Struthio camelus: one gene and its partner. The protein of the gene in region 1 interacts with the protein of each later gene in a biochemical or structural test. Links are inferred from orthologs where the notes say so. Each region holds a gene or a part of one and is shown in the gene's direction. Other genes may lie near its edges. The genes, in order: MYOD1 and CSRP3.

The links.
Region 2: the proteins of MYOD1 (region 1) and CSRP3 form a complex in vitro, tested with the Homo sapiens proteins (2 studies listed by BioGRID and IntAct, with this or other methods). The link is inferred for Struthio camelus from reciprocal best matches to the Homo sapiens genes MYOD1 and CSRP3.

Annotation. Positions count from the first base shown.
Region 1 is NC_090946.1:20,181,310-20,197,889, reverse strand, and holds MYOD1 (myoblast determination protein 1), read left to right. Parts: upstream 1-8,491; 5' UTR 8,492-8,664; coding exon 8,665-9,225; intron 9,226-10,590; coding exon 10,591-10,669; intron 10,670-11,286; coding exon 11,287-11,534; 3' UTR 11,535-12,453; downstream 12,454-16,580. Other genes in the region: ferritin light chain, read left to right, coding at 1,836-1,982, 3,040-3,543. UniProt on the Homo sapiens protein: Acts as a transcriptional activator that promotes transcription of muscle-specific target genes and plays a role in muscle differentiation. Together with MYF5 and MYOG, co-occupies muscle-specific gene promoter core region during myogenesis.
Region 2 is NC_090946.1:32,061,798-32,078,450, forward strand, and holds the start of CSRP3 (cysteine and glycine-rich protein 3), read left to right. Parts: upstream 1-8,008; 5' UTR 8,009-8,179; intron 8,180-11,417; exon of another isoform or gene 11,418-11,596; intron 11,597-14,828; 5' UTR 14,829-14,848; coding exon 14,849-14,960; intron 14,961-16,653. Other genes in the region: transcription factor E2F8, read left to right, coding at 582-800, 1,649-1,781, 1,939-2,255, 2,956-3,129. UniProt on the Homo sapiens protein: Positive regulator of myogenesis. Acts as a cofactor for myogenic bHLH transcription factors such as MYOD1, and probably MYOG and MYF6.

The DNA of each region.
Region 1 (16,580 bases):
CAGGATCATCGGTGCCATCCCCTCTGAAGCTGAGCCTCTGTTGAGAGTCAAGGCAAACTATACTCAAGCGTATAACCAAGATCCTCTGATTGAGCTTAGTGTATGGTATTAGTGCAGTAAAAATTAAGTATGTGGTGAAACCTCAACCTGTTAAGCGTGCAGACTGAAATACCACTGCTGATTGGTAGTTGGGCTGGATGGAGAAAGTTCCACTAGAAATGGACTGTGGCTGTCTTAGAAGTAGTTAATGATCTTTATAAAAGACTTACCTTAACAGCTATGCAGGTGTAGTGTCTTGGGTTCTTGCAGTCCTGCAGCACACTCGCACTGAGCAACTGGTTACAAAACACTCAGCCTTGACTCTTCTGTCAGTAGAGATATGAATTAATGACTCTAGGAAAAAGACCATGCAAATATAGCATTGAATATTCTCAATGAACATTGCAGTATGTACTTCCTCTTGAATGGCGCATGGTTACACATATGTGTGCCACAGCTTTGGGGCATCCCGGATGGTCATCAAAACATAAACACATCATATGGTGTATATAACTCTTTTACGCTTTCTTAGCAGATGAGCGACATAGATGAAACTCAAGTATTTTGTATTTGTTCACAATAATAATGAAAGAAGGGAGAACAGCCAGAAGTAGAAACGCTTATGAAATGCACGTACTTGTTCTTTACCCCCCTGGACAGGCGACAAGCCAGGAGTTTAATATGCAGCAATCCAGTCCAGAGGCAAAGGCTGTGCTATACTGCCTATGCCTGTTTAGGGAACCAGTAGATTGATATATTGTAGCTCCCTCAATTCTACTCTTGGCATATTCCCAGCTGCTGCCTCTCACTGTCTTTGATATCAAAGTAGTGCAGAGCCAATGTTGAACCTCTCTGGGCAACCTGGTGGCCTTCCATTGCTATCTGTCTCTCTAGTACATTCTCTTTATTCTGTCTTCCACCGTGCAGGCAAGGAGCTAGGGATCAGCCTGCCACTCCATGCATAAAATTAATTCAACAGATGGGCTGACAGATCAATGAGCACAGTTTAATCTTACATTGATGAAAGTTGTTACTTTCCCATATAGAAAAATAGAACAAGGGCTACAGTAGGTTTAGGATTTTAATACTTTTTGAAGTCGTCTTAGGCATAAGCTATGTATTGCTACTGAACTATACTGTGTACACCTTTAATATTTTCTCTATTGGAATAGCATTATCCATAAAGGAACTGAAAACTGGTGCAAAATTGTTCTTGGTCTCCTTTGGTGTTTGCCTCATCTTTCTCATACCTTTAGAAGCTAACTTTTCAATGGAATGTTGACCTGAAGGGATAAATCCTATGTTCTCTGTACTCTTGGCTCCATCAGCAAGAAGCTGGACTATGCTTATTTAATGAAAAATAAATAATAGGATCAGGCCCTTACCAGTTCCAATACCTAGAAGGGAAGAATGTTGCTGATTTTGATGCTTTCGGTAATGGTGGTGGAGGATCTGGATATGTGCCTCTAGCTATTTTTCTTTCCTAAATGCAAATCTCATAAGCAGTATCTGGCTAGAATCTGTGACTGCTAATGAAAAAAAACCATCAGTAATAGTCTCCTGCCCAGTCTTAAAAGGCAGAAAGCGTTCTAGTAGAAGTATAGAGGTTTTTTCGATTTAGGACAGTAATGACTTCATTTATTGCAGAAGTTTGGAGGAAGACCTTCAAAGTGATTAAGGTGGTAGAACGAGTTCCATTGGAAATGTCTCCTCCCTGAGTTCTGATACAGCTGTGTTCTGCTGCAAGTTCTGTCTTCAACAAACTTTAACACTCTGGTTGAATTTTGTTTGCTTAGGGTGAATTTTTTGATCAGTCCCATGTGGCCCTACCAAATGTTTCAAAGTTCTTCCTGCATCAAGCCATGGAGGAGAGAAAAGCTGCAGAAGCTTTGATGAAGTATCAGCAAGAAAGAGGAGGCCACTACTGTTCTAAAACCATCCAGGTGTGTAGCAAGCAACTTGTAGTCTCTTGCAATTAGCAATAATTACTCTAGACTCCTGCATTATATAGTTGGTGCCTCAGAACTCTCAGTATTCAACCACTATTAGATTTTTCAGATATAATTTCCCTATTATATTAGTTAACATGCTTTTGTTCCTGATTGATGCCTAGAAAACTGTCAGACATGCAGTCCTAACTCCATATGATTGCTGGTCTGGCCAAAAAGGATATGAACAATGGTCCCTTTTTTCTTCCACTCAGCTGGAGACTGCTGTTTCCAGTGTGCTGTAATGGATTATGTGGGTCTCCTTAAACTGTTTCAGTGCTAAATCAGCCAACTTGTCTGCCTTCCCACTGAAACAAAATAAAGTCATTGGCATCTGAAAGGGGTAAGGAAGGAGGTGGGAGAAACATCCAGCTGGGAGCAGTAGCTCATCTGTTAGAACATAGCCAAAGACAGAATTTGAATCGATTTGACTCGGGCTTGCACAGGTATGAAGGAGTAACTCAGTTATCAGTTTTTAATTTAAAAAAAAAAAAACCCTCCCTTGTAGAAGATTATAGGGCGGATTCTTCTCTGGCAAACTATTATGTATTATATAAACTATTTATATGTACTATATAAACTATCTATATGTATTATCCATTATATAAGCTATTATGTAAAGAGTTAAATATATCATCTTGCTGTTCCTTGGCCTATCATAGCATTTGTTGAGCTGGAAAAAGTAAAAATAAAAAGGCCATCTTGAGCAACTTTTTAAAATATTGAGTTTGCATCTATACGGATAGGTTTTTCTCATTTAAGAATATTTATCAGGCATAGCTACTGCTATTTAAATCTTGTTCCTTGAAACAAGGATTTGTGGGTTCTGGCACTTCTGTATGTTTACAGCCATCTAACTCAGCAAAAAATAACAGACGCTCCACACTAGAAGGAGCTCTTGGAAAATCCTAGCACGTTTTGTTTAGAAGGTCAGTTAAGTTGCAGGAAAATAGCAACGAATATGGTAAGATGAGCTGCTCTTATTAATAATTGTAACTATCTTTGCTTCTAGAAACCAAACTGTGAGTACGCAGTCAGTCTGATGAAAGCCCTGGAATTAGCAATGATCCAGTGGAAAACTATGACACGGTATTTTGAAGAGCTTTATGCCCTGAGCCTTGAAAACGCAGACCCTCACAGTGCAAGCACTATCAAGAAACAGTTCATTGAGCCCAAAATCCGGAAGATCAAGCTGATGGGAGATCTTCTGACCAATGCTCGCAGGCTTGACTGTTCCCAAGATGGCAGAAACAGTCTTGGCGATTACTTCATGGACCGGCTCCAGAAAGAGCTAAGAACAGGCATAGAGCCAGAGCCTAGTCAGCGCAGTAGCCCCTGCCCTCCTCTCCAGCAATGCACAGGAGCTGCAGAGGGTCTGAAGCGCCCCCAGAGAGAATCCTCCCAGCACAGGAATGGCATAGGGCCAATATATGCAACTGTATATTGCACTGCTGCAGTGCCACAGTGCAATGATGGGACAGGAGCAAAAGTGAAGCAGGGCAGGGAGGGACTGTAACACTAGGACTGCTACAGCTATGGAGCAGCTCCTAAGGCAGATCTTTATGGAGGGTGGCCTTGAGACCAGCACTCAGGAGATGCAATTGGTTACTCCTGTATCACTCCCCCTTCTTCATACCTTGGCCCTCATCCTCTGATGAGCCGCAGCTCAAAGTCTAGCCCATACCATTGTTTAAATCATAGTGAGATTGCTAGTTCCCCAGATTGTTTGCATCAATTACACTTTCATCTATGCAATTCTTACCGTAAAAGATGCTTCAGTGTAGAAACTAAAAGCCTTTAGGCCTCTCCTCTGGCTTAAATGACTGTTAGTATTAGTTAATGCCAATTATTTTTAACAGTGTATAGAACTTTTATAAAAAAAAAAAGAAAGAAAACTTTAGTACAAGGTAACTTCTATGTGGGAAAAAATCCAAAGATTAAGTTTTATATTAAATATTTTACATTAGTATGGTAACATTATGAACTCTTTAAAAGACTTGTTTTAAAACAAGGTGGATTTCTTGTTTTCTTTCTATCATAGTATCAATTTCAATAACTAAGTAAATTCATTTACCTATAACCCAGCTATTTCTTGTTGTATATGCCTTCAATATGAAGGATACTAACTTTTTCTCAATGTGGGAACAGGACAATGTGCTGTTTTTCACTGCAGTTACTTGCCTTGTTGCCTTTTCTAATCCTCAAAAAGAGGATGAGATGTAAATTAGGGGTTCTCATTAGATGTGGTTTTCACCGGTTTTATTTTACAAGTGTCCCCAAAGGCCCTAGCTCTAGGGACTTGCCCAGACATAGCCTAGGACAGTTATTTTAATTATCACACAAATCCCTGTTTCAGCTGGATAAAGTATGGTACTACTGCTGATTTTCTGTATTCCCTATCTTGGCCCCAGGTAGGTGAATAACATCCTTGGGAAAGTGCAGCATGCGCAGCTAAAATTGCACTACAGAAAGCAGCCTCTCATTCATTTTTGCATTTCAGTTGAGGGGGGCATTCACACTGCCAAACTTAAAGCCTTCACTTTAGCCAGCTGGGTTAAAGTTCAGAGGAGTCTAAATTCCTTCCAGTCAGCTCCTACAGGAATGCCTCTCCTTCTCTACATTGACTAACAAGGTCACCTAGGAAGAGCAACTGGCTAAATCAGCTGCCTGGAACTAGGTTCTTAAGTCGGTATATACCACAGCTTTTAGGCAATTTGAGTTAATCTTTCAGTGGAACAAACCCCAACTTTTATGTAATACTGTAATCAATGTTTCTGTTGTTAAATTTGAAAATAAATTCAGTTCAATGTAAGAAATAATGCAGATGCAAATTTTTAAGTTTTCCAAATATGCATGCTAATGTTCTTCTCCAAGAGACTTTGCCTATTGACAAAACTGTGCCAGAGTCTATCTGCCCCCAAGAAAGTTACACAAGATAGAAATATACACCACAAAATGAAAACAAACATATTGGAAAACTGCATTAAGGTAAAAACACTGCACAAGGAAACACTAAGTCAATTTTGACTTCTACACACGGTAGCATTAAGTACCTATTTCTGTAAAGCCACATTAGCCCACCTACTTTCTGCTGATGTTGTAACACAGGACAGACAACTACAATTCAGATGTTTTCCCAATCCCTTTCTGTTAATGATTCAGCTTTATGGTGACGGGTGGGGAGGGAGGAAATCACATTGAAACTTCCCCTCTATGCTCCTTTTTAAAAAAAAAAAAATTACTGCAATGTGCTACATGAATGGTTTGAAGCACTTCCAGCAACATACTGGATTTGCCTATGTTGGGATGACTGGCAGTAGTTTAAAAGATATTTCCATCTGGGCTAGATTGCAACACCCATCCGCATGCTGAGCATACCTTATTCAACAATTAGTTTCCCTGACTCTAACTCAACATGAATAAGAGCAATGGAATCCATCCTCAGTATTAAAATATAGCTCATTAAGTATGAATGGAGCAAAAATACTCATTGAATAATAAACTAGTGTCATAAAAACCCTTCAAGTATTACTACTGTTTCTACAACAATCTTCTACTTTGACAGTTCTTAACCTTCTGAAATATAGGTATAGCTTCTTCCACAGTTTCCAGCACTTAGACCCTCTCTCTTTACCTTAACAGAAGTCCAATGTTTAAACTTTACAGTGCACAACTTACATACGTGGCAATATTTCAGGGAGAAAGAAGCAGCAAGTTTCTCAGAGATCCACTCCTCTGGTCTTCATCTTTGTGGCAAAATGTGTTGGCACGTTCTCAGAATTTTAAGTCCTTTGTTTCTCACTTTTCCAAAACACCTTCTGGGCCCTCTGCCTACAGAAAGAATTCTGTTAATTTCAGGTAGAGAAACTCCCAATCAGTTATTTTCCCAATCTTCATCCTCTGAAAAAGAGAATTAAATCAATTACTATAGATAACCGAAGTTCTTTTTGTGCATATGCTGCTTCTGCTGAGGGTGTGCACATGCTCACGCATGTGACCTCAGGGACTTTGTTAACAATACCTGTACATCGTGTATAGGATGAGTGTCCATGTATGCTCCTCAGCATAAGCAGTACAATCTGCTTCCCCCGTCTCAGCTTCCTTTCCACTACACCCTGAAAAAAAAAGGAGATGAAGGACGAAACGTGCAACAGGTATATAGCACCATTTAAAGTAACCATAAGAATCTGCTTCCTCTGCTGAATGCGTGCTCATATGCACACCCCTGCAGGTGTAATTCCACAGCAATGCCCAATCCATCCAGATCCAGGATCTGGGAGGCTTAGAAGAGCCATAGAAACACCAGTACTGAAATAGAGCATCCAAATCAAAAGCTTTGGAGAGACCTAATCTCTACTGAAATGATGAGTAACAGCCACAGTGGCTTCCAGACAGACACTTAACAGTAGCATGTTTCTAAATTCCGCCATAAGCACGATCTAAGGCTGCACAAATGGGGCCCTTGCTGTTGCCTAGTCTCAAAATGAGGAATTCATTAAAATACCTAGGGGAAGACCATGCTGTCCTTCATCCTCTCCACTATGGCCACCCTAAGTTGAGAAGAACACCTGTGGGTTTTGTTCTTTGCAAAGACTCTCAGACTCACAATACAATGCAGCCTCTTTCTGGACCAATCCATCTTTGGGAAGAATACTGGAAAGTGAATGTTGGTTTTGGTAGCGACCGTGGGGGATGAGTCTTCAAAGGCACCTTCAGTAGAAGAACACTCCATGCAAACTATACCATCTGGTCATGGCTCTCTCTCCTGACTTTTTCACCTAGGTGACAAACCGAGATATGCTTTTACTAACCCATGTCTTGGGACACATGCATGCTGCCACAGGTTGAAAGAAGAGACTCCCTAGAGCGTGCAAGCGCTAGACTGCATTGCATTGGCAGTTACTTGAAGTCTTTGTGTATCACTTGTCCAAGTCCCAGCCTTTGTTACTGCTTTGCCCAAGGTAACCATTATTTGCACAAGTCCCAGAATGCCTTTTTCTGGGGTCAAGTATAATCTAGAAACACACTTAAAGTGGCAGAATATCCTACAATGCTGTGTAAACATCACGTAGAATTACCTTTTCCACAAATGAAACAAGTAAGCTACAGAGAGATGAAGTGTCTTGAGCCAAGTAACGTGGCCAGCGCCAAAACCAAGCCTTGATACCCAATGTACGCGTTTAGCTGTTATAGCATATAACTATTTCTCACTTATACTTAATATGCATTACTGTATTATTTTCAATACAAATTGTTTTTACGGTGTTTTAGCTGTTCAGGAGAGATTTTTCAGAACAGCAAAAGCTGTTCATTCCTTCTGGATCAAAGAAACCTCTGTAACAACAGCGGAGGGTTTCCACAAGGTTGCTACTCTGCCTCTCAGAGCAGCTGGCAGATACACTTCTCAGTGTGTTAGGGTGGTCAATAGCTGATCTCATTGGGACGTATCACTTTTCAGCATTGGATACGGTGAAACAACAAAGTTGTACAGAGTCCAAAATATCTACTTTTTCCTTTAAATAAAAATTTGATCTTTGGGGAGTAACGATAGGACGTGACTAACAGTTATCTCTGCCTGTACGTGAAGACGTGTAAGCAAGTAGACCACGGGGACTGCAGACTGGGAAACCAAATCACGTAACTAGCAATGAACACACCGTTACAATGACCCGTCTGAAAAGTCACAGGCGCAGGAACTGAGGACTAGGTCACCAGTTGATATTTTACCTTTACAGACCCTTCTAAGCTGCCCTTTAGCCCATTGAGGCCAGAGCTTTGCCTTCGATTTTAAATAAGTCAGATTTTCAGCAGCCTCTGTAAGGGCAGAGTGGAGATTAATCTTAGCCCATGGCAGATAAAAACACCCGTAACTATTTTAATCATTAAGTTAATGAAATCACGCAGCTGAATTGCTGGAGTGCTTCCACACCACAAAAAGAGCTCAATTTCTCGGCTCGAGCGATATTCCCAAAACAGCGCAAACACTCTAGCAAGACCTGAGAGACGTTACCCCCCCCCCACCCCCCCAAAACACGTCCCGTGTCTCTAGGGCCGCGGCTCTGCCATCGCCGAGTTACCTGAAAACAACGCACCCTTACCGCGCAAGCAACCCGGGCCGTCACCACCTCAGCCAGCCTCCGTCTCTTCCCGGGCCGCGGAGCAAACGCGACGGTCTAAGTCCGTTAACGCCCGGGGAAAGCGGGCCTCGACGGGCCTCGCCGACGGGCGCACCGACCGCGGGGCCCAGCGCCCCCCGGCGGCCGCCGCCCGCTCTCGCCGCGCCTGCCTGCACCGAGGGGCGGGCGGCGGGGCGTTAAAACCACACGCGTTTGACACCGCCCGGCCCCCGGGATGGGGGGGGGGGGGGAGCCGCGGCCCCCTCCCCGCCCCGCCCCGTCCCGCCGCGCCGCGCCGCCCGGGGGGCTCCGGCATAAATACGGCCCCGAGCGGCGCTGCCGGACCGGCGCGGCGCGGCGGCGGAGGGGCGGGCGGCGGCAGCGCTGGTGGCCTCGCCTGGCAGAGGGGAGCCGCGGGGCTCCGCTCCGCGCCGCGCGCGCCGCCACCGGCCGTCAACGGCCGTCAACGGCCCGAGCGCGCTTTCCCGCCCTCGGCCCCGGGCGGCGCCGCCGCCGCCCCCATGGACTTACTGGGCCCCATGGAGATGACGGAGGGCTCCCTCTGCTCCTTCTCGGCCGCCGACGACTTCTACGACGACCCCTGCTTCAACACGTCGGACATGCACTTCTTCGAGGACCTGGACCCGCGGCTGGTGCACGTCGGGGGCCTGCTGAAGCCCGAGGAGCACCCGCACCACCACGGGCACCACCACGGGCACCCGCACGAGGAGGAGCACGTGCGGGCGCCCAGCGGGCACCACCAGGCCGGCCGCTGCCTGCTCTGGGCCTGCAAGGCCTGCAAGAGGAAGACCACCAACGCCGACCGCCGCAAGGCGGCCACCATGAGGGAGCGGCGGCGCCTCAGCAAGGTCAACGAGGCCTTCGAGACCCTCAAGCGCTGCACCTCCACCAACCCCAACCAGCGCCTGCCCAAGGTGGAGATCCTCCGCAACGCCATCCGCTACATCGAGAGCCTGCAGGCGCTGCTGCGCGAGCAGGAGGACGCCTACTACCCGGTGCTGGAGCACTACAGCGGCGAGTCGGACGCCTCCAGCCCCCGCTCCAACTGCTCCGATGGCATGGTGAGTGCCCCCGCCGGCGGACAAAGTCCCCTTCTGCGCCTCCACCTCCGGCGGCCAAGGGCGGTGGGGTCCCCCCACGCCAGCGCCCCTGGAAGAGAAGGGAGAAGTCTCTCAGGCGCTCCTTCCTGGGGATGAGAAGTTGGGCAGGTTTCCCTGGGTCCCGGGGAAAGCTGCTGGGGGACCGCTCTGGGAAGGGCGCCGGGAGCGCCGAGAGGTGCGAGTCCTGCCCGCGCTCCCGGGGCATCTCCGTTTCCATCTCCTGTACCCTTAGCCCTGCGTCCCCTAGGGACAGCTGTGAGGGAGGTCCCCCCTGCCATGATAACTGCAGGGGAAAACTCACAGGGGAACTGCTAAGTCTGGGTTTTCTTTTCTGACATTAGTCCTGATAAGAGGAGCACGGTCTGAGCAACAGGAGTTGCTTTTCTTGACCGTTATGAAAAAGGTTCTCCCCCCTCAAGACATTTACCAGCAACAGGAAGGAGACCCCAGGCTTTCACCTCTGTTTGTGCATTATGGGGAGAGGGGAGAAGAAGAGCGAGTGCCAGAGAGGGTGTCTCGTCACCTAATTTCTTTCTTGGGACTATAGTTTTAGACTCCGTGGCCTGACTCGAGGATGGTGGGATGTGGTGACTGGAGTACAGGATAGCTGAGATGAGAACCACAAGAGCACTTTTAAGACTTCCTGAGTTGGCTATGTTCTCTGGTGGGGATAATTATTACTGAGCTGAATATCTGGGATTGTGAGATAGCTGGCAGATCGGGGAGAAAATTTACACAACTGATCCCTCCTCAAAATACAGCCTTTTTTCTCCTCTCGGTAAGAGCCATGTAACTGTGGGTGGAAGTACCAGAAACAAAAATACTGGTCAGAATGCTTGCTTTTTTTTCTCTATACAAAGTAATAGTGGGGAGAGAAACCAAAGGAAATAAAAAGGCACAAAGGTGGACTAGTGGGTTTTTTAAAGGAATTCATGCTTGGAAAAGTCTTCAGAAATTAAACTGAAAAAAGACTTTTCCCCCCTTGGTCTCCCTGCTGCAATTCGAAGGGCAACCTCTGATTAGAACGCTGGAAGACTTCACTTCATTTGAAAAGCTACAGCATTAGTACATTAGTTACAACAATGGTAATTTTCCTTTAAAATAACTATGCCACATAATACATTCTGGGGGGAATTTCTTCCTAGCAAAGTTAAGCTCTGCCTCATTCAAAAAAACTAAAACTTGGTGGTGTTTCAGCCAGGACTAGAGAGCTATGGCACAGACTAGGGTCTGAAGTGTGAAGTTAAATAGTTACTGGGGAGGAAATATTTGAGGAAAATGCTGTCCCCCCACTGGTGATCTCACGCAGATTTCTCTCCTTTCCAGATGGAATACAGTGGGCCTCCTTGCAACTCCCGCAGAAGAAACAGCTACGACAACAGCTACTACACGGAATCACCAAATGGTGAGTATTTGCAGTAACGGCAACGTGAAACATAGGGGTAGAGACGGTCAGCGCAGCAGACTTGCCTGTGCCTTCTCTGTCCCCGGTTGTTTAGCAGACTCCGGCTGGGCTTTTCAGCCAGCGAGCTGTCGATGCTAGTACATGTATAGCATTTCCCTCTAGATGCCTTTGCAAATATGGGAATATAGTATAGTGGCATTTCCTACTTTGCAAACATAGTGTCTGGATAAAAACATATTGGAATATATTCCAACAGTTTTCAGAGTTTAACTACATTTTGCATAAGGATTGTTCCAACCGGATATCACTGATCCAAACCATGGAGAAATTGCCAATTGAATTCAAATCTTCCATTCCCTTTCTATGGACTGAAGTGAAGCCCTGCACCCATCCTCTTGAAAAGTATCATACCTCAGTTGGGCCTTTTTTCCCATTCTGCAAATTATAGTCTCTGTTTTCTGATAACTGGCATCTTTCACCAATATTCCTTTCCTCAATCTTAATATGCTCACAGATATGCCCTGTCAGCCACTGGTTGGGGTTCTCTGAAAAAACTACAGCCTACTGACATTAAATACCCATTGACTAAATTGATCACCTCTTCTGTCTGTCTTTAGATCCAAAGCATGGGAAGAGTTCTGTTGTTTCTAGCCTTGATTGCCTCTCAAGCATTGTGGAGAGGATTTCCACAGATAACTCCACATGTCCAGTCCTGCCCGCAGTGGAAAGCGTTGCTGAAGGGAGTCCCTGTTCCCCCTCCGAAGGAGCCAACCTGAATGAGAGTGGAGTCCAAATTCCTTCCCCCACCAACTGCACCCCGCTTCCCCAGGATAACAGCAGCAACCCTATCTACCAAGTGCTATAAAGGCAAGTCCAGCTGGACTGCAGTGAAAACAAACTGTTACATGCAGTAAAGCTCCAAGACCTGCCTTGTAAGACTGAAAAGACTTCTCAAGACTTCTTGTTCCAGTCCTAAAATCTCTCAAAATTCCTTCAAGTACATAACTCTTCAAACCTGTATTACTTCAAAATACATCTAGTTATTTATTGGTTGTTAAACTCAAGTTATTTAATGTGTCTGGAGATAAAATTGCATACCATGAAATGGCCAACATTTAATCTGGGCTTTTGAGGAATAGGAACCTCGCTGTTGAAAGCAGGGGAGAAAAGAAAGCTACAAGTCTCTGGAGTAAAGGCATGACACATGCTTTCTATTACCCCTGTTCTGGCCAAAATAAGGTTGTGGACCACTTTTATAAAACTTTTTGTATAATTGTAAATAAGAGTTGCTTTGCAAAAAAAAAATAAGAAAAAAGTTAAAAAAAAAAAAATATTTAATGTTGCTTGGTTTGTCGTGCAAAACTTTAACTTTATATATTTATACCATGTGGTTGCCAAGAATGTTTTCAACAGTATTCTAAATAAAGACCCTTATTTATAAAATCCATGGAGTTATCTTGACTTTCATTAGAGCTTCTAGAATTACTTGCGCGTTTAGGAGTGGTGCTAAGATCGCTGCCTTGGCAGGAAGAAGGTACAGGCTCTGATTCAGCAAAGAATCAAGCCCATGCTTCAGTTGTGCTACTTTCCATTTCTTTGCATAAATACTTTGCTGAAAAAGGGTGTATTTTCTTTATATCGTATTTTGGTACCCTTTCTGAACTGAATGTTAAACATCTGAGGGCATTATTACGTAGCTCTGCATGGTAAATAAGCAGGTTCTTCTTGCCCCTCAAAGGTTATGAATACATTGTAGGACTTGAGCTCTTAAGACTATACACGAACTAGGAATCATAGTAAATGAGAATCTCCAAATTCCTCGCAGCTACACACTCTTACAAGATCAGATACTGCACTCTTATATGTAAGTCCATATTTTCCATTCAAGATCTAATTTTCAAGTGGATGTACCATGTTCATACATTCTCAGGTAACTGAAAATAATTACATGGGATTTTGTGTCATAAAGTTCAAGGTATAGATCTCAGTTTTCCTAAAGTTCAGATTGGAACTTAGGCCAAAGATAGGAAGCTTTAATTTGGATTTGAACTTTCCCCATCTCTGGCAACACTACTCCAGGGATTTGCTTCTTGTTTGGAGCCTTTCTAAAAATAACCAGGGGGCTATGTTTCATTCAGTGTATATATACGTGTAACCTTGCAAGCTTGCCATGAAATTGAAAAATGTTAAGCCCTGAACAGATTGTCATTGATAAGTAACCATGAGGGCCTATCTGCACATTTGGACAAGAATAACTAGCAGCTACAGCCCGGTATGAAACAACCCATTGCTTTCACGTCACTGTGATTTATGGCTTTTGTTTAAACATCACAGTAAAAAAAAAAAAAAAAACATCATCAGCTCTAAATACGTTGGTGACAGATCAGTCGTTATATTCTCTCCTAGCTGATTATTAAAGAGGGCATTTCTGCTACTCTTACCTCTTAAGCAGGAAAAAAAGAAAGAGGGAACAGCTAATTCCATGGGAATGTCTTCCACTCCTTCAGACTTGGATCAGCGCTCCCCGGAGAGGCACGAGCGGCCTTGTGTTGGACAGAGCAACGCGGTTGCTTCTCCGCAGTCCAGCAGTAACGGCGTGCCGGGAGCTTGCTGCTTTCCCTGAGGTCGGAGCGGCAGGAAGGCAGCAGCCGGGGGGGTTCCTCCCTCGTCGCGGGCGTTTGGGACCGCTGCCAACACCGAATCTGTGCGGAGGCGCAGGCCCGGCGCCCACACATCGGAGGGGTTTCTGGGGCAGGGGCTGCCCCTCAGCGCCTGCATCGAAGTCAGGTGCTGTAAAGGGATTCTCTCAGGGGTCTCCTGCAGGTTTCACTGTGGGCAGAAACACAGTCCAGGCAACACAGGTTGAGTTACCCCTTCAATTTTTCAGTTAAAAGTAAAAATTAAATGAACTCAAGAGTGTGCCAATTCATTCTAGTGTGAATCAGGAGCATCTCTACTAAGGTCAGAAAAATGCCCGCATTAGTTTGACTGAGTCAAATCACTGACTTCCAAAAACTAAATACAGACTGTTGGAGCCTCGCAAGTCAACGCCCTCACAAATTAACAACAAAGTTTTCATTGCCTCCAGCAAAAACTTAATCGGGCCCCAATGCAAAAGATGCTTTTGTGAAATACTGTACACTTTTCTCTCTGCATACGCACAGGTGGCACAAAGCTTGCGCCTGACTCACTAGAGCACCCCACTTCTGCAGGACACGACGAAGTCCCTTGCCGGAAGGCTGGCACAGCACCGTGGGCGCTCGGGGCGTTTGCGCTCAACAATGTACATGCAGTTCCTCGTGAAGTCATGTATATTGCATTTCACTGATTTATTTTAGCAACCCAAGTTTCCACATACTGATGTTAATGTTACAACAGAGAACAAGCATTTAGCACATCCCAGAATAGATGGGTGGATAAAGAAGAAGAAAATATTCATACATTTACTATGCAGAACCCATCTTTTTCCCGTTGAGGTCAGTGAGAAAAATCCACTGGAGCAAGGCCAAAGGGCATCAGTGCCGAGAAATACACGGTTAGATTACGGCTACACTTATTTTTAAACTTAAATAAGGAAAACGCGTGCCCTTCCATGTGCAATTTCTTGCTGTCTATTTCTAAGGTAATCTATTAAAAACAAATGGCTGAAGTTACTATACTCCCCTGTGCACCATGAGGACGGCACGTTACTGACAGAAGGACATCCCAGTCCGTCTGGATTGCAAATGCTTCAGAGCCAGAGACGTTTGGATTCAGAGCTGCAGTTCAGACGGTAACAAGGGAGCAAAAGCAGAGCTGAGGAACAGATACAAGACTGGCCCAACATTTACCAACTCGGCTCTTAAAATCGGCTCCTAAAGCTGTATTTAGGCATCGAGGGCTGACCCTACGAGACAAAGAGCAGTCGAGCTGGGGCCAGTGAAACAGCGCAGCTAGTGCTCCACGCACCCATAGCTTGAAATCACCAAATCACACACACAGCCTCAGGTTCAATATTCAAATAATTTAGCAGGACGGGGCACATGAAGAAACGCTGATTTAAAAAAAATCGGAATCCCGCACGTGGCACCGACAGGCAGAGCGGGGCAGAAGCTGGGCACCACGGCACACCAGCCGCTCGCGGACCCAAGCTGCTTCGCTAAGGCAGGAAAGAGCCTCTAACTAAACGCACGTTTGAGGCTTTCTGCAAGGGATTTTACAACTGTCTGATACTTCCCATGGAACGTTACTTCCATATGGAAAGGCATATAACTACGAATAATTAGAGGAAAGTAGCTATCTTTGAGCATAAAGATAAATGTGTAGCTTAGGCACGTTTGATTTGGTTTGGTAACTTAAGAGCACCACACAGAAGCTGCGTGACACAGCCCGTATTATCAATTTATCTTATTCAAAATGGTGCTAGAGATGAAGTGGAACGGAATAGATCTTTTCTTCATTTATACATGTTAAGCGCTTTGATTTTGAAGTTTTGTCATGCCATTGACAAATACGAATGAGAATGAAGTGGATTCTTTTTCTATTTTCAATATTTTACAACAAATAGAAGTGCAATAAAATTGTTTTTTGAAAATAACAACGTTGAACACCAACAACTATCACTGCTGTACACCAACAACATTATCATTATCACCTCCAACATTACTGAAGCTGCTACAAACATTTTCCACATACCGAAAATCAGATGTTAGGTAAAAGAAAAATATAAACTATTCCTAGTATATTTTTTCTTTTTTAAATATTTTATCACCTGTCTCCAGAAAGAGTAAGTTTGCAGCTGCTTTGTACCAGATGCTGCTCTTCTACAACCACTTGTCATTTTAAACACAAGTTACAGACTTTACAAAAGCTGCGGAAGGTGGAAGGAAAAACAGAATTAGTGCTATTTCTATAAGGAGAAAATAAGAAGCACACTACATTTTGCAAAGAGGGTCAAACAGTGCAAACCTGCTCATTTTACTCATAAAAGTGGTACTATCCCCTCCAGAAGAACTACATTCACAAGTTAACAGGCAAACGCTAATGCCTAATGCTTCTCAGCTAGCCCTCCCGGAATCTCTCAAATCACTTAATTTTCAGTAGATCTGCTGCAAAATCATGACTTTCTTTCCCAGCTCCGTGCAGCATCCTGCCTTCTCGAAGGAGCGCACCAGGGAACGTCACCGAGGAGCCCACTGGGTCTCCTTGCAGCATCTGAGATTTCCGGGCTGACGCGGGAGCGAGCAGCCCCTAGTGTAACGCAGCAGCCTCCAGGCAGTCCTGTCTCACCCCGGGCCCACGGGAACGAGCTCTGGCTCCGGACACCCAGAAGTTCCCTTGTGGGGCAGGACGCAGGGGCTGGGCACCTACTTTTGCCTGCACAGACGCCTCTGAATAAAGGCCTCGACGCTGTAAGCTCAGTAGCGAGAACTGACCTGTCCCGTAGCCACAGCATCACTCAGGGTTTTCCCAGGAATACACTCAGTATGGCACTTAACTCACCTTTTCTTTCTAAAAGGTCAATACCACTTTTATTTTCTATATGGGTCTCTTAACCATATCAAGAAGCATGCTGTTTTATAATAGATTCGATGAATAATCCCAGCGCTGCTGACATATAGCATCAACAGGGAGGCAAATCCCCGATCTGCAGTGAGGCGTGCTACTGTTTGTAAAAAATGTATTAAAAACTCTGGCGGCCAATAACTCACTTCATCAGAAAATGTTGGAGTCCAGTTCATTCGGGGTCCTGGGTCTCGGCATCCCCATCTACTGTCGTGAGGGCACAGCCGTGAAACAGAAAGCGGGGCGCTACATCCGGAGACGCTGGATAAAAGCCTGGTCCGACCGAGGTTGTGCAAAACACATTTCACAGAGGGCATCGACCACTGTCTTTTGCTGCTGCTTTAGATACTTGTCTGAGCACTTTTAT
Region 2 (16,653 bases), about 12 Mb from region 1:
TTGATGGATGCAACGTCCCAAAATTCTGGTACCTTCTGAATATTTTTATCCAGTGTTGTAGGCAGCCAGTGTTAGGCTGTCGTAGTCTTAATAATAAGGTGTAGGAAGAGAATAAGACTGGAGAAACTGGGCCTGGTTTACTTTCCACCCCTCCCTCTCAGCACTGGGCTCAGTTGCTGACTGTTTTGTTGTACCTGCAAATTATTAGGCCGCTTTAAATTGTGCGTGGCAAAACAACCATGACACGTTATCGGTGCGTGCTGTGACAATGTCAATGGCATTAAACATCCACTAGCTGCAAAGGAGCAAGAGGGGATAACATAGAAGCAGTTGTCTGTACTTGTAACTGCAAATCTTTATAGCACAAACTTGAGAATCAGGAGAAAAGAGAAAGTTTGTTTTCTAGATTGTGTGCACAGAGAATTGTCATAGAAATGTAGCTTTTCTGACAGCCAGAAGTATTTACCTTTGTAATCTTAACTTTTTAAATGTATAAATGTTATTGTAGACATGTAATTGAGGTTGTAAAGTCTGTCTTTTACAATATCTGCCTATGTTTTTATGTACTTTTTTTTTTAAAGGGAGAATCCATTAAAAAGGAAAAACCACCTTCTAGTGGTTTGCAGATGAATGATGAAATGGACAATTTCCAGGAAGAGAGACAAAACAAAGCTGAAAAATTAGATCAAAATGTAGCAAGTTGCTGTGACCAGTGTAAGAGAGAAGGTATTCCAGAAGATGAGGACAGAAGCAAAACTAAACAAGAAATACCTGTAGCATTTGCCATTCCTGCTCATGAGGTAAACTTTCTGTCAGCATATCCTACCATTGCCGGAAAAATGCCGCTTTTAAGAGAGCTCTTTGCCAAAGAAACAAAAGTATAAAAGCTACATGTCTATGGATTAATTTTGGTTGAATTATTTTTCAGTGTGCTTTTCAAATCTTACTTACTGGAGGACTCTTCTATTTTGCATTAAGTACACAAATAAGAGGAAATGAACTGACTGGAATGAAGACGGTAACCAAGACTCACTAGATAAAGGCAGTGTTGAGATTCCATACCTTCCCAGTCCTTTGTTTGCACATATATAGTTTCAAATACTTTCATTTTCAACAGAACCACATAAAGCTTTTTATATTTTAGTAAAATTTAGTATTCTGCAATTTGACTTACTGCTGTGAAGAACTTGATTAAAGAACATTTTTGCCGACAAATACAGAACTTGTAAATGCAAATGGGCTGTCTTCCAGGATTTCTCTCACGAAAACGCAATGCAAGATTGAGGTGACATGATGATTACTGGGTCCAGATGTTTCTTTTGTTAGAAAAAAGTATTCGGTATCGAGACTTCTCTTGTGTCTGGTCTAATTGTAACGTGTTAATCTGGGATGGATTTCCAGCCCCTTACTGAGGATGTCAGCTGGGAATAGAGCCAGCTGACTTCTGCAGTGTGTGGCAGTCTTATTTTAAGAAGTGCTGCTTTAAGTCATCTGTGTCTAACTTCAAGCAGAAGGTAGTACAGGGCATGGAATATAGGATCCTGCGGATACAGAGGATAAAGAATTAAGGGCAAGACAACAGAAATGCAACTCTGGGGAAGGTTGCTTATTACATCTTTGAGTACAAGTGGTTGTCTTTCTTTTCCAGACTTTTTTTCCATCTGGCTATCTTATTCCTCTTCCTCAATGCACCCACCATGGCAACAAGGCAGGCTTTTCTAACAAAGAGAAAGCTGGAATATGTTCATTACAGCACACCACCTACAGCTCACCCATTGCTGGTGAGTATTAAATGAAATATACATCTAATTCTCTGGCTTGAAGGACTGTGGGCTAGACTTACCCTACTGAGGTCAAGATATCACACTGCATTGGTTTGAGCCTGAATTTTTTAATTAAAAAAATAATTATTTTAATCTTTTAATTTTTCATCTTTAGGTGTGATTCCAGTGACAGCATCTGAACTGAAAGCAGTTAACATTCCTGCTTTTCATATAACACCCTTGAATATAATGGTATCACCAACTTCTATAGCTGCTGCGCCTGTACTGAGTAACTCCTGTCTCAATTCAAGCAACACAAATTCTGCCCAGAATCCAAGTTCTTCAGTTCTGAACTTTACACTGCAACATTTAGGACTAATACCTACTGGTGTGCAAGTTCCCACAAATCCTGTTCTTCAGCACACGCCCGTCTCTTCAAAACCAGAAAATGTTAGCCATAGCTCAGAAAACATGAATTTGAAAGAAGAGAAGGTAAGTAAAAATATATTGCAACTTCCTGACCATGAGTTAAGTGGGAAATACAGTGCGGTAACGCCTTCACAACAGGTAAAAACTCTCAAAATTGTTTCCATCTTACTTTTTATTTATAATTCAGCACTGCCCCCAAAAAGCTGGAGTAACAGGCAATGAAGGCTAGCTTATGTGGAAGTGGAGCCAGTTTGGAGGAGTTGAAGGATGATAGGATGTGAAGAGACAACTGTCTTAAAGGCAAAATTTTGTATAGATTTAAGATGACACTTATTTACAAATTCTCCATTTGTTACTTCATCTTTCTTTCTCGTTACTCTCCTAACTTATTCTCAAGGTCTTGCATTTCACGTTGTCTTTTTTAATAGAACAGACTTAGTAGAGGATTTAAAAAAAAATTCCACAGGAAATCTGCATATTTATGTGATATTATATATTGCCTCAGATATGTTTGTACTAAAAAAAGGAGACAGGAGGGGATTACAGAAACAGATTTTCATTTTTAACTTTTATATATATTTATAAAAATATATAAATACACACACATATGCACAAAATATACACATATGTATAAATAAAAATAGATCTACTCTTCTCAGTAAAGAACTGTTAGGTTTTTAAATTTCAAAAAAATATGGAAACTTAAAGCTAGAATTCACTTTTTTAAAATGAAAGTAACTTTCTCTCTTTCTCATGTTTTTAGCTAAGTGTTCCAAAGGAACCCCAAGAGCTCCAAACAGTGAAAGAAAACTTTTTCCGCACACCAGGAGGGCCAAACACAGTATCTTCATCTTCTGGAAATTCAGATGGTACTGATGGAATTTCTCAAGGAACCTTGTATATTCCTCAAAGGAAACTTGAAGTGTCAGAAGACTAATTTTGGGATATCGTGTTGCTGAATGTGTTAGCAGGCATAATTACTGATAACACGCTGCATGCATCTTGGATTGCATGATGGACAGTGTTTGTTTTGGACATGTATTGGCAAGACCTCAATACTGGAATAGCCTTAATTAATGCTTTAGAATTAAAAGCAGCTCTTAATGAGAAAGTTAATGTCTAATAATTTTTTGAAAAGGCTTACCTAAACTATCATAGCAACCAAGTTATGTATCTAATGTTTTCTGTGTTGCTTTTCTGCTATGCAAAGTAAGCTGAAATTAACTTTGTACAGAAAGGTACAGTCTATCACTCAGTACATATTTTGCACAAAAAAAGTACTGTGAGCATGTATATATTTTATGTCTTAACAAAAAGGCCATAGTTACAATTTCTTTTGTGCCTATGTTCAATAATGCTCTTTTGTAAAGTTAGTAAAAACAACAAAAAAATGAAATCTTAATCAAGTTTATGTAAGTTAAGAATTATTTATACTGTATTTTTAATCAATTTGTTCAGATTAAACTTACATCAAACTGTCAAATTTTGACAGTTTTTTGTTTAATCAAATTAAATTACCAGCGTTAAGTAATACATTGTACATTCACTGGAATCTCTTCAATTTTTTGGCCAGACAAGGATATCTCTATGTTCTGAAGAAAGAGAAAATAGTATTTCATCAGCAATAGATTTAAATTAAAGTAACTAGATTAGACTTTCTGACTTATCACTAGAGATTACATCTACTAATACCAATGAGTAGAGGAAGAGATTATTTATGAGGTTTGGAATTTAAAGTAACCTTGTCACCCTAGAGCCTTCTGCAAAATGCAGTCCAAATGTCACAAAACCAAGACTGCACATAGTTTATATAGTTACATACAGCTTGAAACTAATCGACCACTTCAGTAACAATTGAAGTTGAACGAGTTGTGAATCCCGCTTCCCAGCAAGCACAGGGCAGACCAAATAACAAACACAAAGACCCCCTGCCTTGCCTCTGTTCTCCTATTAAACACGGAATTTTTGAGCCAGATGCAAGCTCCAGCTGGCGCATCTACCAGATTATACCACTAAAAGTGTGGAGATTCTCTTGACGCTGCTCAGGCTTCAAGTCTACAGTAAAGTTGTCAAAATCTTTGTCCTAAGGTTTATAACACTGTTTGTGACCAAAATCACACATGCAGTTATTGAAGCAATGTCATTCAGTGTCCCAAACACTGTAAAGTCTTGCAGACGCAAGAAATGCCACAGCTGTCTTGGACATCGACATGCCCTTTCCTGGGGCTTCACTGATGCCCTTGTACAGGAGAAAGGTGTTGGAATAAATTGCAGCAGGCACGAAATTTCATTCAAATTCAAATTTGATCTCTGGAAAGTCAGAGAGTGACTACCAAGCATTTTTATTCTATTCTTTTATAGAGGTGAGTTAGGTAATTATGTGGAATTGACTAATGTTCTAGTTTGCCTCAAAAGTAACAAATAATCAGAGAAAAGGAACTTCTAGCATTATGAATACATTATTTTACAGAAAAAAACATAATTGTTTCATAAAGAAATACATAATTCAAAGCCTTCTCCCTCCCTTCTTTACTCAAATTCCTCTATTCATTAAATGATAATGTGATTTTTCTGCAGGAGAACGCCTGAGGCAAAACTTCAGTTAAAGCTGCACTTCTATTTTCAGTCCACTTTCTGTTTTAAACTCTATTACCTACCCTAATGGAAGGTCAAAGTGTAAGACTCTCATTTATCTGTCATAAGAGCCTGCTGCTGGAGAAGCCATAAGACTTCTGCTCCATGAAATGTCCGTACTCTGATTAACCATAGTCTACCTGGATCAGCTGTGAAGCAGGAGCTCATACCAGCTGTATGCGTGGCTTTGTACGTGGGTGTGTGGTGGTGGTGGTTTTGGGGGGGGGGGTTGCTGTTCTCTTTTACTGTGCTTTACAGGTGGAAGAGTGAACATTTTAACTTAAACCTTCAATGATGAGGGAAGGAAGAGGGGAGGAGGAAAGCCTCATAGAAACAAGGGTCTGGCTTCAGCTGAGAGGCAGTACTGGCAGTTTCTGCTTTCTAGCTGTAAGACCAATGTCGGCTTCCGAGTGTTGTTTCTCCCCTGTTGCAATTTCACATTAAACAGGTTAAAGTTAAACCAGCTGAATTTAAATTCAGATTACAGTCTCCTATGCTGAAGGAGCAATGATGAAGCCTCGTACAGCTCACGTTCAACTTAGATGACCGAGAGTAACCAATAAATTAAAGAAAAATCCTGAGTATGCACCTTCCCACGTGAAACGTGCCTGTCTATATCCAAATTAGGACTGGAGAAAGGCTTCATAGACTACTAAAGCAAAGCCCAAGATTCAGACTTGAACTGAGCGTGAAACAGTTTAGTCTTACTGTTAACTGTTTTAATTAACTGCCTTACTTTTCAGAAATACAAAATTATTTGTATAATACAAAATAGATCTGACAGAATTGGATAACTATTAAAATGCTGCTGCATGAGGGGAAAAAGAGTAAAAGCTGGGAAACGGAGAAATTCTCACTGCAGCAGTGAGTAGACTTTTTTTTCTTCTAAGTGATAATTACTCAGAGATTTACCTTCCTCACACCTTCTTCTGTGAATTTTACTCTAGTCAGACCAAAGGCAAAGATTTATAGAAACTTCTTGAATTATGCAGAGGAAACAAACTTCAGAACTTTCATTTCTGGACATTGCAGCAGGCAGAATAAGAAGCCATAATAATTAGATTTTTGAAAAAGGGTCTGGCCACAAATTCTATGCTCTGTTGTGAAAGGCTGAATGTATATCCCAACTTACTCTCGAGTGTCCCTTAGCTCCTGTCAAAATACAGTTGCTTTCTCATGCAGGCTTTATAATAACCAGCCCTTTACTTCATTCTTGTTCATGTTGCAGGCTGAAATGCTACCTTTTCTCTCCTCAAAGTATTGAATTCCTCAGAAGACTCAGCTTTCACTCTGATTTAGCTGAGGTTTCTGCTCTTCCCACCTGTCTAATCTATTCTTAAACGTGACCCGACTACTGGATTTACTCTGTTGCCAAACTCTAGGAAAGTTCCTCTGATCTTCAGGCTAGCTTCATTTTTGATATGCTGTGTTCCAGTTCTCCAAGCAGTACTTTTAATCCCTACCTTTGATTTACAGAAAACATTACACTCCTGCACCACAAGGAATGTGAAAATTAATGCATCTGTGCACTCCAATTGCATATTTCAAGTCTGCTTCTTCAATTTCAAGTCCTGATAACCACAGTGGACCGGGGATTATATGAAATTCACAGCACACAATAAGCATTCAACTGGTCCTTTCACCTATAAGGAACCTGTAAATAAGATTCACCTCCTTATAGCGGGGATACAGTATCCATGATAGCACAGTAGTACAGAAATGAAGCTACAACCAATACCAGGAATCTAAAGGCTCTACCCTGCCTTTATCTCTTAACTTCTCTGACAAAAGGAAAACAATTACTGAAGTTCTGGGGAAAAAAATCTTTCTCCACAGATTTCCCTGCCACTTCCATAACCAGTTGGTTATGGTACAGATCCATCCAAATATATGTTCTAACTAGCCTAATCATCATGTGCTAATCATCAGCTGATGATAAGAGCGAAGATCAATGAAGATTAAGCTCTCGAGAGCATCCAGGCTCCCAACTTCCAGCTGAGCAGGGGCACAAACAGAAAGTGGTTATCAACCTGCTAGTGCTTTCCTGTAGCCTAGTGGCAAGCTCAGTCATGCCCCAGTCCTTCCTCTCGACCATCTTATTGGAGATGTTCATACCATACACATCTGCAGCTGCCACCGCACCATTTAGCCTTATTTAACGTAAGCAAGAGAGTTCCATGAACCACCCAGGAAGAATGAATGAGAAGAAATGGGGTCCAAGACTCTTCTGCTCAATAAAAATTAGGCCTCTAACCTTACATTAGAAACCTTTGCTGGACTCCATAGTCAAGAGATGTTAGACTCTTAAGACTTAATTTTCAAATTAGCCTCAGTGAATGGGCCCCTAAAATCCTGAAATTTCACATACATTTGGCATCTAATTTCCTTACACTCCCATGAAAGTCCCAGAGTTGAGACCTTCACTATCAGTCTTCAGTTTGTAACCCCTAAGTTCTAGGTGATTGGCCCTTTCACTCCTCCCAAAATCCATGAAGAATGAAGTTTCTAAATTCAGAAGTCCCTCCAAAGATGAGAATTACCCTCAATCTTTAAAGCACTTAAAAATAAACAAACAATAATCTCTGTAAAGAAATGAACTTTAAGCGCTTTACACTTTAGCCCATCTCTAAAATGGTTGCAATATCACGCATTTGCAAGGGGCTCAGCAAGGTTTCGTAATTGCTTATAGATGCTATGATTAAACGTGCCAAACTCTACACGTATTAGCTACCTGTCTTAATGCTTAAAAAAAGTACAAAATTAAAAATTAGAGTGACAAGCATAAGTCGCCATAGTCTAAGACTTCTAGCAGATATCAACCATTTGTAGCTATCAAGTTATGAACTACTTAACTAAATAAAATTCTATTTGGTTTAAGACTGTTGAGTCCCAGAGGTTCTTACAATGAGTTATTGATTATTTTTATAATTATTTTGTTAGATTATTTTTGGCAATGATGTCATCATATATTACTAAATCCTCATTTCAGGAACCATTATTTTATGATTCATGCTTAAGCAATTTAATCGCAATTCTAAAATTTCACTCTTTATTTGATCTGTTGGAGGGCTTTTAAGAATGCCTTTAGGTGTAATCGGAGGGGCTGCATTGTTGTCCACCTACTCACGAGTGGACGTAAGGGAACAAAATGCCAGGCTTCTGTCAGATGTTATTTTCAGCTCAGTGATAGCAATGGCATTGCTCAGATCCCTGAAGCAACCTCTCCCAGCTCCCTCCCCTCCCAGCTCATAGGGCCAGCAGTGGTGGCCGCTGCATTTAAAGAGTGCAGGAAGGCTTCAAGTTAAACTCTGTCAGAGGCCAAAGAAAATAGGAAGAAACATCAGCCTGCTCTGGTAAGTGTAGTACATGGGGTTCTGCAAGACTGTTTGATATACGGATTTGGGTTTTTTTATTTTTTCCCCCCCAAAGCTAGTAGAAACAGCTTATTGCTTGACTAAGAAAAATGTGCAGGTATAGCACAGAAATGGGAGTCCTATAGAGCTGACAGCAGTATTTTAGGTTTGCAGTAGCTAACTGAAAAGAAAGATTCTTCTGGGCTTCTAGGCCTTTACGGTAGCTATTAGTGTTACAAGAACGGGGCTGTGGAGGGTCTCATCTCTGAGACAGGCATTTTTACCACATGCAAGACTGGATAGCATAGAAATTGTGGAAGTGTTTAGAAATTTTGTTACAAAGCTGAAGAATGACTTCTTCCACAGATACTCTATCTTAATATACGAGCTTGCTAAAGTATACAAAGTTATATGCTTTCAGAAGTTCTCAGTAAGAGAGTCAAAGCATTCTGAAACAAAAAAGTCACTAAATATTTAATGTCTAATTGGTTTTATATTAAACCAGAAGGACATTTCTACATAACCTCCACCTCCAACAGAAAAATCACAAATAAAAATGCAAGATGACAGAATTCACATGCTCATCACTCAAGCGTTAAAAGGTAGCATGACTGGCCAAGTCTTTAGGAAAAAAAATAGCTAAAAAAAAATAATTATCTGCTTCAAAAAGTTTTCTGTCTAAAGATAAAACTGTTTCAAAGAATGCAAAGAATGAAGCCTTGCACGTACTTAAAAGAATTCTGAGTCTGATCTCAATCATCCCGGCAATATTTCAAAGTCCATAAGAGTTTTGTTTGGGACTAGAGGACTTAAGACAAGGATAAGGGTGTAAAGAAAGATATTGTGGAAGGAAAAGCTGAAGTTGATAGCACAGGATAAGGTCTGAGGAAAGAAACAGATCATTTGGACAGCAGGATGTAGTTTCCCACAGCCTTGTGAAGAAAACTGAACTTTGTGTTTGAGGGAAGGGTGCTTTTTTAAAGTCAGAACTAAGTATCTGGTTCTAGTGTCAGCGTATCACATCTTTTGGAAACGTCATCTTAAATTTCTGCAAAGGTGTTCACCAAAGAAGTTTTAATAGAAATGCGTCATTACCATGCCAGAAAATAAGACAGTAGTGGGAAGGATACATAGTGACAAAAGCAAAAGATTCAGAGGCAGCACTGAGTTCTCCTGTCAGCTTTGCCCCTCACTTGCTTCTTATCAAGACACTTAAAATCTTCTGTTTCGAAAGGACTAGTGTAACTTAACATAACCAGTGTCAGTCAAAATCAGTATTTATTTTTCTGTGTCATTGTGGAAAATCCTGTCTCTTGACCCCTATGTGCTGGTTTACTGCAGAAATATAGAAAAAAATTGCTATGCGGCATGAGGATAAAAGTAATACACTGACTAATTCATAAACCCAAACTTGTATTTGTATCCATAGCCCACTAAATGTATATGACCATAAGAAATATCACTATAAATACATAACCATGTTGTATAAATGAGCTCACTCTTCAAATGCAATCATTTTCTCTATTGTATAACTATTCTGCTGAGAAATGATGCTTTCTGCAATGGATTAGATTTCGACCAAAACACCTTCAGGCTTTTTGAGATGCAGTGACAGGAACTATGCTTTGCACTGCAGAAACATCAAAATTAAACGTGACATAGTGAGAAAGAGAAAGAAACCATAGCAGTATTTAATTGATACTTTAAAACAGAATTGGAGTGTGTTAAAATTATTTTTAAGTCAAACACAGCTTTTGCCAATGAGGAATACCACACTTTACACTAAAACTGACAGGAAAAAAACATTAAATAACCTAGAAACATCTGGAAGTATTAATCTTCTTCAAAAGACACTATAGGCAAATATTCTAGGGCATCAAAAATAACAGCAAGGGCAATTGAATCTCAAGACACTTGCCTGGCACCACCAAATATAAGGCAAGACCTATGGGAGATCCAGGCTCTCTGGAGTGACAGCTGAGGATAAGGCAGGATACCTGACAATGTTGAATATGGTGCAAGATACCTATGTTTACACAGCCAGATACCACTCTATTTCTTCCATTAAAGCTATTGAAAGTTCTCTGTAAAGGAAGCTATGTAGTGTTATCCCTGGGGTGCTGGTGAAGGAGTAAGACTAAGGAAGGTTGAACGAGTCAGAGAGTCACATGACAGGTCAGCAGTAGAGCTGTGATTAGATATCAGGAATAAAATCCTGACTGCATTGACATCTCCCACAGACTTCAACTGGGGCCACAATTTCTAATTTCTAGTCTCAAAACTCCCATTTCAATAGTGACAGTCATTTAATTTGATACTATTGCTTATTACAAAAGGAAACAATCTTCTCATGCTTTTAACAGACTATAGACTGAACAGTCAGCTAGGACTAAAAATAGAGATGCAAAGCACATCTTATCCAAGTCCTTCTGGTTCAGCATTTCTACCATCACAGGATTCAGTGACCATAAAGACCTACATTTCCCATTCTGCTTATCCACTTGAAAGTCATCGTATACTACATTTGGTGCTCTGAGATACCCTTTCCAGCCAAACAATAAGTGATTTCTGCATTTTCTATACATACGACTTGAGTTCTAGACCATCAAACACATAAGCATTTAGAATGAAAAAACTAGTGTTTAGGAAAAAAAACACCAGCATTTTTTTAACAACTTTTTCACCAGCATTGCACTACCTAGCACTATGTTTATCTCTTTTAAAACCACTCTATGAAACCACATAAAGCCAGTACTGCACCCACTTCCCATTTAGATCAATGGATATATTTTTGGACTATATCCTTATCAATAGTACTCTAATTAGAATGACACAAACCTCTATGACAGTTATGTGAATATAGCAGCTTTATATCCCAATTTCTATAGTAAGACGAATAGCCCAGTAGAACACGCTTTCTTGCGGCTGTGCAGAGCACAAACACCTCAAAAGCTTCTTTACTCTGAAGCTAGGCTATCTAGCAGTGTTATGAGCGCTAAATAAAGCGAAGCACGTATCCCTGGCTGCACATCTGATGCCTATAAATTCTACTCCACTTAATAGCTGCATTTTGAAATGAAGCAATATGAGCTGCCGAATACTACTGAAGCAAGTCCAAGAATGCTTCTCCAGCTTAGCAGTACCATAAATGCACACCAGCATTTGGCATTGCTAATATTCAAAAGTTCCTCTATCATGTGTAATATACATAGAATGGTCTCACTCTACTTCCCACCAGATCACCAAATCTCTGGAGAGGTGACCAAGCAAGAACACAGACCACGGACTTGTCCTAGTACCTCAGCCAGCTGTTGAGCCAGCCAGCGCAGGCATCATGGCATACGTTGCCATTCTTAGGCCAGTATCCTCATGAGAACGTTTTTACTGTGACTTCTTTCTCCTACAGCTTCCCATCAGGTGATGGCAAAAAACATGGAAAATGTGTATGCATGCCCAGTCACGTTACTATAATTAGCCTCAGGAGCAATAGTTCTTTTAAGAGCTCTAACCACTGCCTGTAACAGCACAATGTTCACTATCAAACATTATCAGACTTTTTCAGAGCTAGTATTTTTTTCCTTCAGCTAATGATGTAATTAGAGCTAGTTTTAAACAAGTACCCTGTTGCCACACTTAAAGAGACTTTGCGCATCCTTAAGGGGACCTAAAACTGCGGAAGAAGTGCTGCACCCACTGCAGCTTGAAGCCAGCTGCTTGCCTGGCAGCCAGCTACGGGTGCTACTCCAGCTGGTGCAGGACTTCACTGGAAATCCACACCAGGCTCTCACAAGAAACACTCAGCACTTTCCCTGGGCAGATAGTTGTGACAGTTCAGGAGATGCTGTATTGAATTAAGGCTTAAGTTCCATACCAAAAATCAGTGAAAATACTGGCTTCAGAGGAATCACCCCGTTGAACTCCAAAGGCAGGAACATACTAAAAATGTTAATGAACCAATTTTGTTTCAGTTGAAGTTGGTCAGGCTTTCTCTCAATTTCAAGGGGAATACGGCGAGTGCAAACCTCTTCAGGAAAGCATCATAAAACTAACTTTTATCTCCCATTGCTCTTTCTTCTCTTAAAAGATTTGAAGCATTGCTTTAATTATTTTCAGAAGAGAAAAAATGGCACCAATACCGAAATATTTGAAAAAAGCACAGAGGAGAAAATATAAAATGGCAGAATAAGACATTAAGATTTTACCTAAATGAAAGATTTATTCCTGTGCCTTCATCTCTCTTCCAAAAGAAATTTAAGAAAGACTTTAACAGTGCTTTTCAATAAAGTGTTTACTGAGTAAGAGGGAGCAACTTTATAGCTTGCTCTTGCATGCAATCATTTTCATTTCTACTTATTTCAGCCACATCAGATTTTTGCTTTTCACTCATTACATTGCAGATAAATAGAGTTAGAGGCAAGCTGAGTCTTCTTCCATGTCTGCATCATTACACTTTCCTAAGTGTCAGAATAGCTTCTCCTCAACAGCCTCCCAAGAGAACCGTCAGCGTCAGAGAGATTAATGATACAGTTGCTTTATGACAGCGGAGGACTGGACTGAGCTAGGGAAGCTGGTTCAGCTAAGCATAAAGCTTCTCCACAAAGAGAAAGAGGTACTATCTTGTATTAGGATGACAGGTATACTGTCTAATGCAGGTAACACTCACAACAGTGAATATGTGTGTGATTAAATGGGCTTAAAGATAGACTCATCACCAGAGTACTAACGTGGATATGTTTGGATACACTAATAACTGGATTGTTATCAAACACCGATTGTTAAAACATGCCTGTGTTGCTGTATCTTCAGTACTATTGCTTCAGCATGAGCACACACTCCTAAGCTGCTGTCCCATTTTCCTTTTTATGAACAGATAAGGCTTTTATTTCAATTTTCAGCACTAGTGACCAGAAAGAACTCTGCTCAATTTCAGGTTAAGCTTGCAGAGCTGGCATGTAGAAAGTATTCACTTTCCTTCTGAAATTCTGCAGATTTGGTACAGAAGTCACTGAGATGATGACAAATAAGGGACATTACAGTGTCTAATGTATAGTCCTGGTAAACTTTAGGCTAAAGTTCAACCCATTTAAAATAAAAGCTGTATTACATCACTACCGTGATAAATTTCCCTCTCTCTCGCCTGACATTAGAAAAAAATTCTCAGGTAGTAAGCTTCATTCAGTGTTCAAAATCCTTTCCTTACTTCAGGATATCTCATGGTGAACTTAACCAAGTAAAAACAGAACAAGCTGGCTTCTAAAGAACTATAATAAGAAAGTGACTGACTTTCCAAGAAGGATAAGAAAGGTCTGAGCCAGGAGCTTGGAACAAGCTGATAATACGATGTGCAGATGACAAGATGACATTCCAGCCTTTCCAGAAATGATGACTCAAACAACAAGAAAACAGAAGGGCAAACTGCTGGCGCTGTGGTTGTTTCAGCTGCATGATAGCATGGTCATCAGGAAGGGCAATGAGCCTGCAGTCAGGTGACCCCAGTTCAGCTCCTGGCTCTTCCACTACCCTCTTATGTGACCTTGGGCAACTCACTTCAACTAATAGTAACTGAAATAGTAAGCACTATTCTTCACTTTTTCCTCAGATGTTTATATTTTAAGCACACCTGACAAACATGCCTTAAGCACCTTAGGAAATTATCTGTTATTACCTCATAATGGTTGTGTAGCACAGTGATCTTGCGGCTGTTTTACGAGGAATTCAGAAAAGCAACAACTTGCTTTTATTAAAGCGTCCTCTGAAAAAATATGGTACGTTTGTTTAAGAACAAGGTGAAATTCTTCAGGTGTGAATTGTATAATATGACATCATACTCATACAGAAAACTGTCTTTACACACGTCACTGAGGATGAACCAGCACTTCCTGTAGAGAGCTGTAAATAGTAGAATAGGGTGCCTCTTGACAGACAGTCTTAGAATATTGTACTGTAGAAAAATTAATGCCAAATTCTGCTCACAGTTTTGCTTTTAAAATTCCACTGAAGTTTCAAAGCATTTGAAAGCCTCCATTAGATTTTGCGTCACAACACAAAACCAAAAACTTCAAATGAAAGCAAAAAATCGAGGGGAAAAGGCTGGGATACAGGAGAGGGCAGGACTGAGAGTAAACGGTTATCACTGGAAAATATATCCTAGAGCTGCTTCTCCAGAAGAGGTCAGAATGACCCTGTCACCTTTTTATTGAAACACTCCACATTCATCTAATGCATTTACCATCACAGGACAATGAACACTAAGGAGTATCCTTATTTACAAAGGAAGGTCACACAGGCCACAGGATTGAAACCGGGGCCTGTTCAACACCAGGCTAGTACCCTCACTGCTAGATTAGTCTGCTGCGCTGCACAGTCCCAGCAACAGGGAAGACTCTAGCCCCCTTTCCTCAGGGCTGCCAGTCACACAGAGGAGAAGAGGTCTTGAAGTTACTGTTTCATCTCTCTGCTACCAGAGAGCCCACAAGTACTTTGGTGCAATTCACACAAGCAGATCCTGGCCTGGGGACACCCTGCAATAGCCATTGCAGGGTGCTATTGTTGCACCCTGTGTAGCAGCTGGCTAGAGGAAAATTAAGCTGTTCTGTTTAAAATAATTCACTTCTGCTATCAGATTAACTTCTGTAATTTGATATTCTAGGTTACACTTCATATATAAGGATGCCGAACTGGGGAGGTGGAGCCAAATGTGGTGCCTGTGAGAAGACAGTGTATCATGCTGAGGAAATTCAGTGCAATGGAAGGAGTTTCCACAAGACATGCTTCCTCTGCAGTAAGCTGGGCTACACTGTTTTAACTTCACAACATCTCCATAGCTTCATACAAATCTTATTTTAAAGCTAGTAAATTTACTTTTGTGCTACTTTGCTTCCAAGCAGAAAAACAATAAAGAAGCTTAATAGTTTCTTTAATTCAAAGTGTTTGCTCATCGTACATCTACAGTGGGTCCTAAAAGCCATTGAGGATCTAAGCAATATACAGCGGAAACACCTAGTATCATGCCAAGTTTGACACAGGGACAGTTTCATGAGATATATACATCTTACGTCCAGGAAAGCTCAAAAAGCAAAACAGTCCCACTTTAATCATCCTACTTAAGTACAACACAATAAGACTGATTGTGGTACAGGAGTCTCTAGAAACCTTAAGAGTCATAAGAGGCCGAAGAAAAGATTCTGAACATATGTGTGTCACATATACAGCTTTCAACCTGGGAGGAGGAAAAAAAAGCTTACCAAGCTAGTTTGCTGAACTGCAGTTTGTTTAAACTGAATTTCGTTAGAAAGTCAGTTTTGAGGGAATATGCTCTTCTGGAAAGCTGATTAGTTAACTCCCAGAGGCAACATCCACTAAAGATGAAACTTGTTTCCCAACCTTTCAGTAACTGAAGGAATGAAAATGACCATATCTGTTTTGAGAAGTAGCAGCCAGTTTTCTGAAAGGCCAGTTTGCTGCTTCGTAACAGCTCTTAATAATCAAGTCCTATTTTCTAACCCTTTACCCCCGAGTAATATGTCTCTCAGGCTCCTAGCTTCTCTCTTTTCAGACATATGTTCAATGGGCTTTGTTAGGGACACCAGAATGCCACAGAACCACAATATCCAGGTTGATCTCCAAGAAACTCTGCCATCTGTTCCACAATGTAGTGTAATACAGGTTTGTTTCAAATTAAAAAGTCCAGAAGAACTGAATAAACAATGCTCATAAGAGGAAAGTATGTCCTATTAAGATAATATGGGAGATTATTGATTTAAGATGAATTCTAACATTGATTTCACATAGGGAAGCTGAAAGACATTATCTGTGTATGTGTCATCAAAATCTCCCACCAATACCCTATGAGTACCTGAGTCTCCTCCTTCCCTATACTGCATGTATGCCCATTCACTTAACTCTCTCACTCCATGCACCCATATAACATTTGGCAGACAGCTTTCAGGAATTATTGCTTTCTCAATAAACGAGCTACCACTTGAGATATTAGAAAGAAAGATATCAGTTCAGTTCCATCTGCCCTTTGCAGAGAGAGTAAACAATGTGATAAGGACTGACAATGGTTAAATAGCTTATTTTGCATTGCAGACAATGCTCGAGATTCAGGAACTTTGCAGTAGGAATACCAGCATGAGAGCTTAGAAACCACTGAATCTAATTTTTCATGCTCCTTTCTTCATGGATGCTGTGAGAATTCTCCTTTGGAAGCATTTTGCACTGATTATAGTTGTTTAGATGACAACACAAGACTACGCGGAATCAGTACAAAGGATACACTTTGCCTTCTTCCTAGTCCCCTGCAAATGAGGCCTAAAAGACTGGGTAAGAAAGAATTCCCTCAAAAAGTTTTAACGTTATTGACAACCATCCTTCAATTCTTAGAGAAGGGTAAAAATCCGTTTGGCAAAAATTAGAGACTTATTATTTTACTTCTATGTCCCGCCTACAACAATTAATATTAGACATCAGAG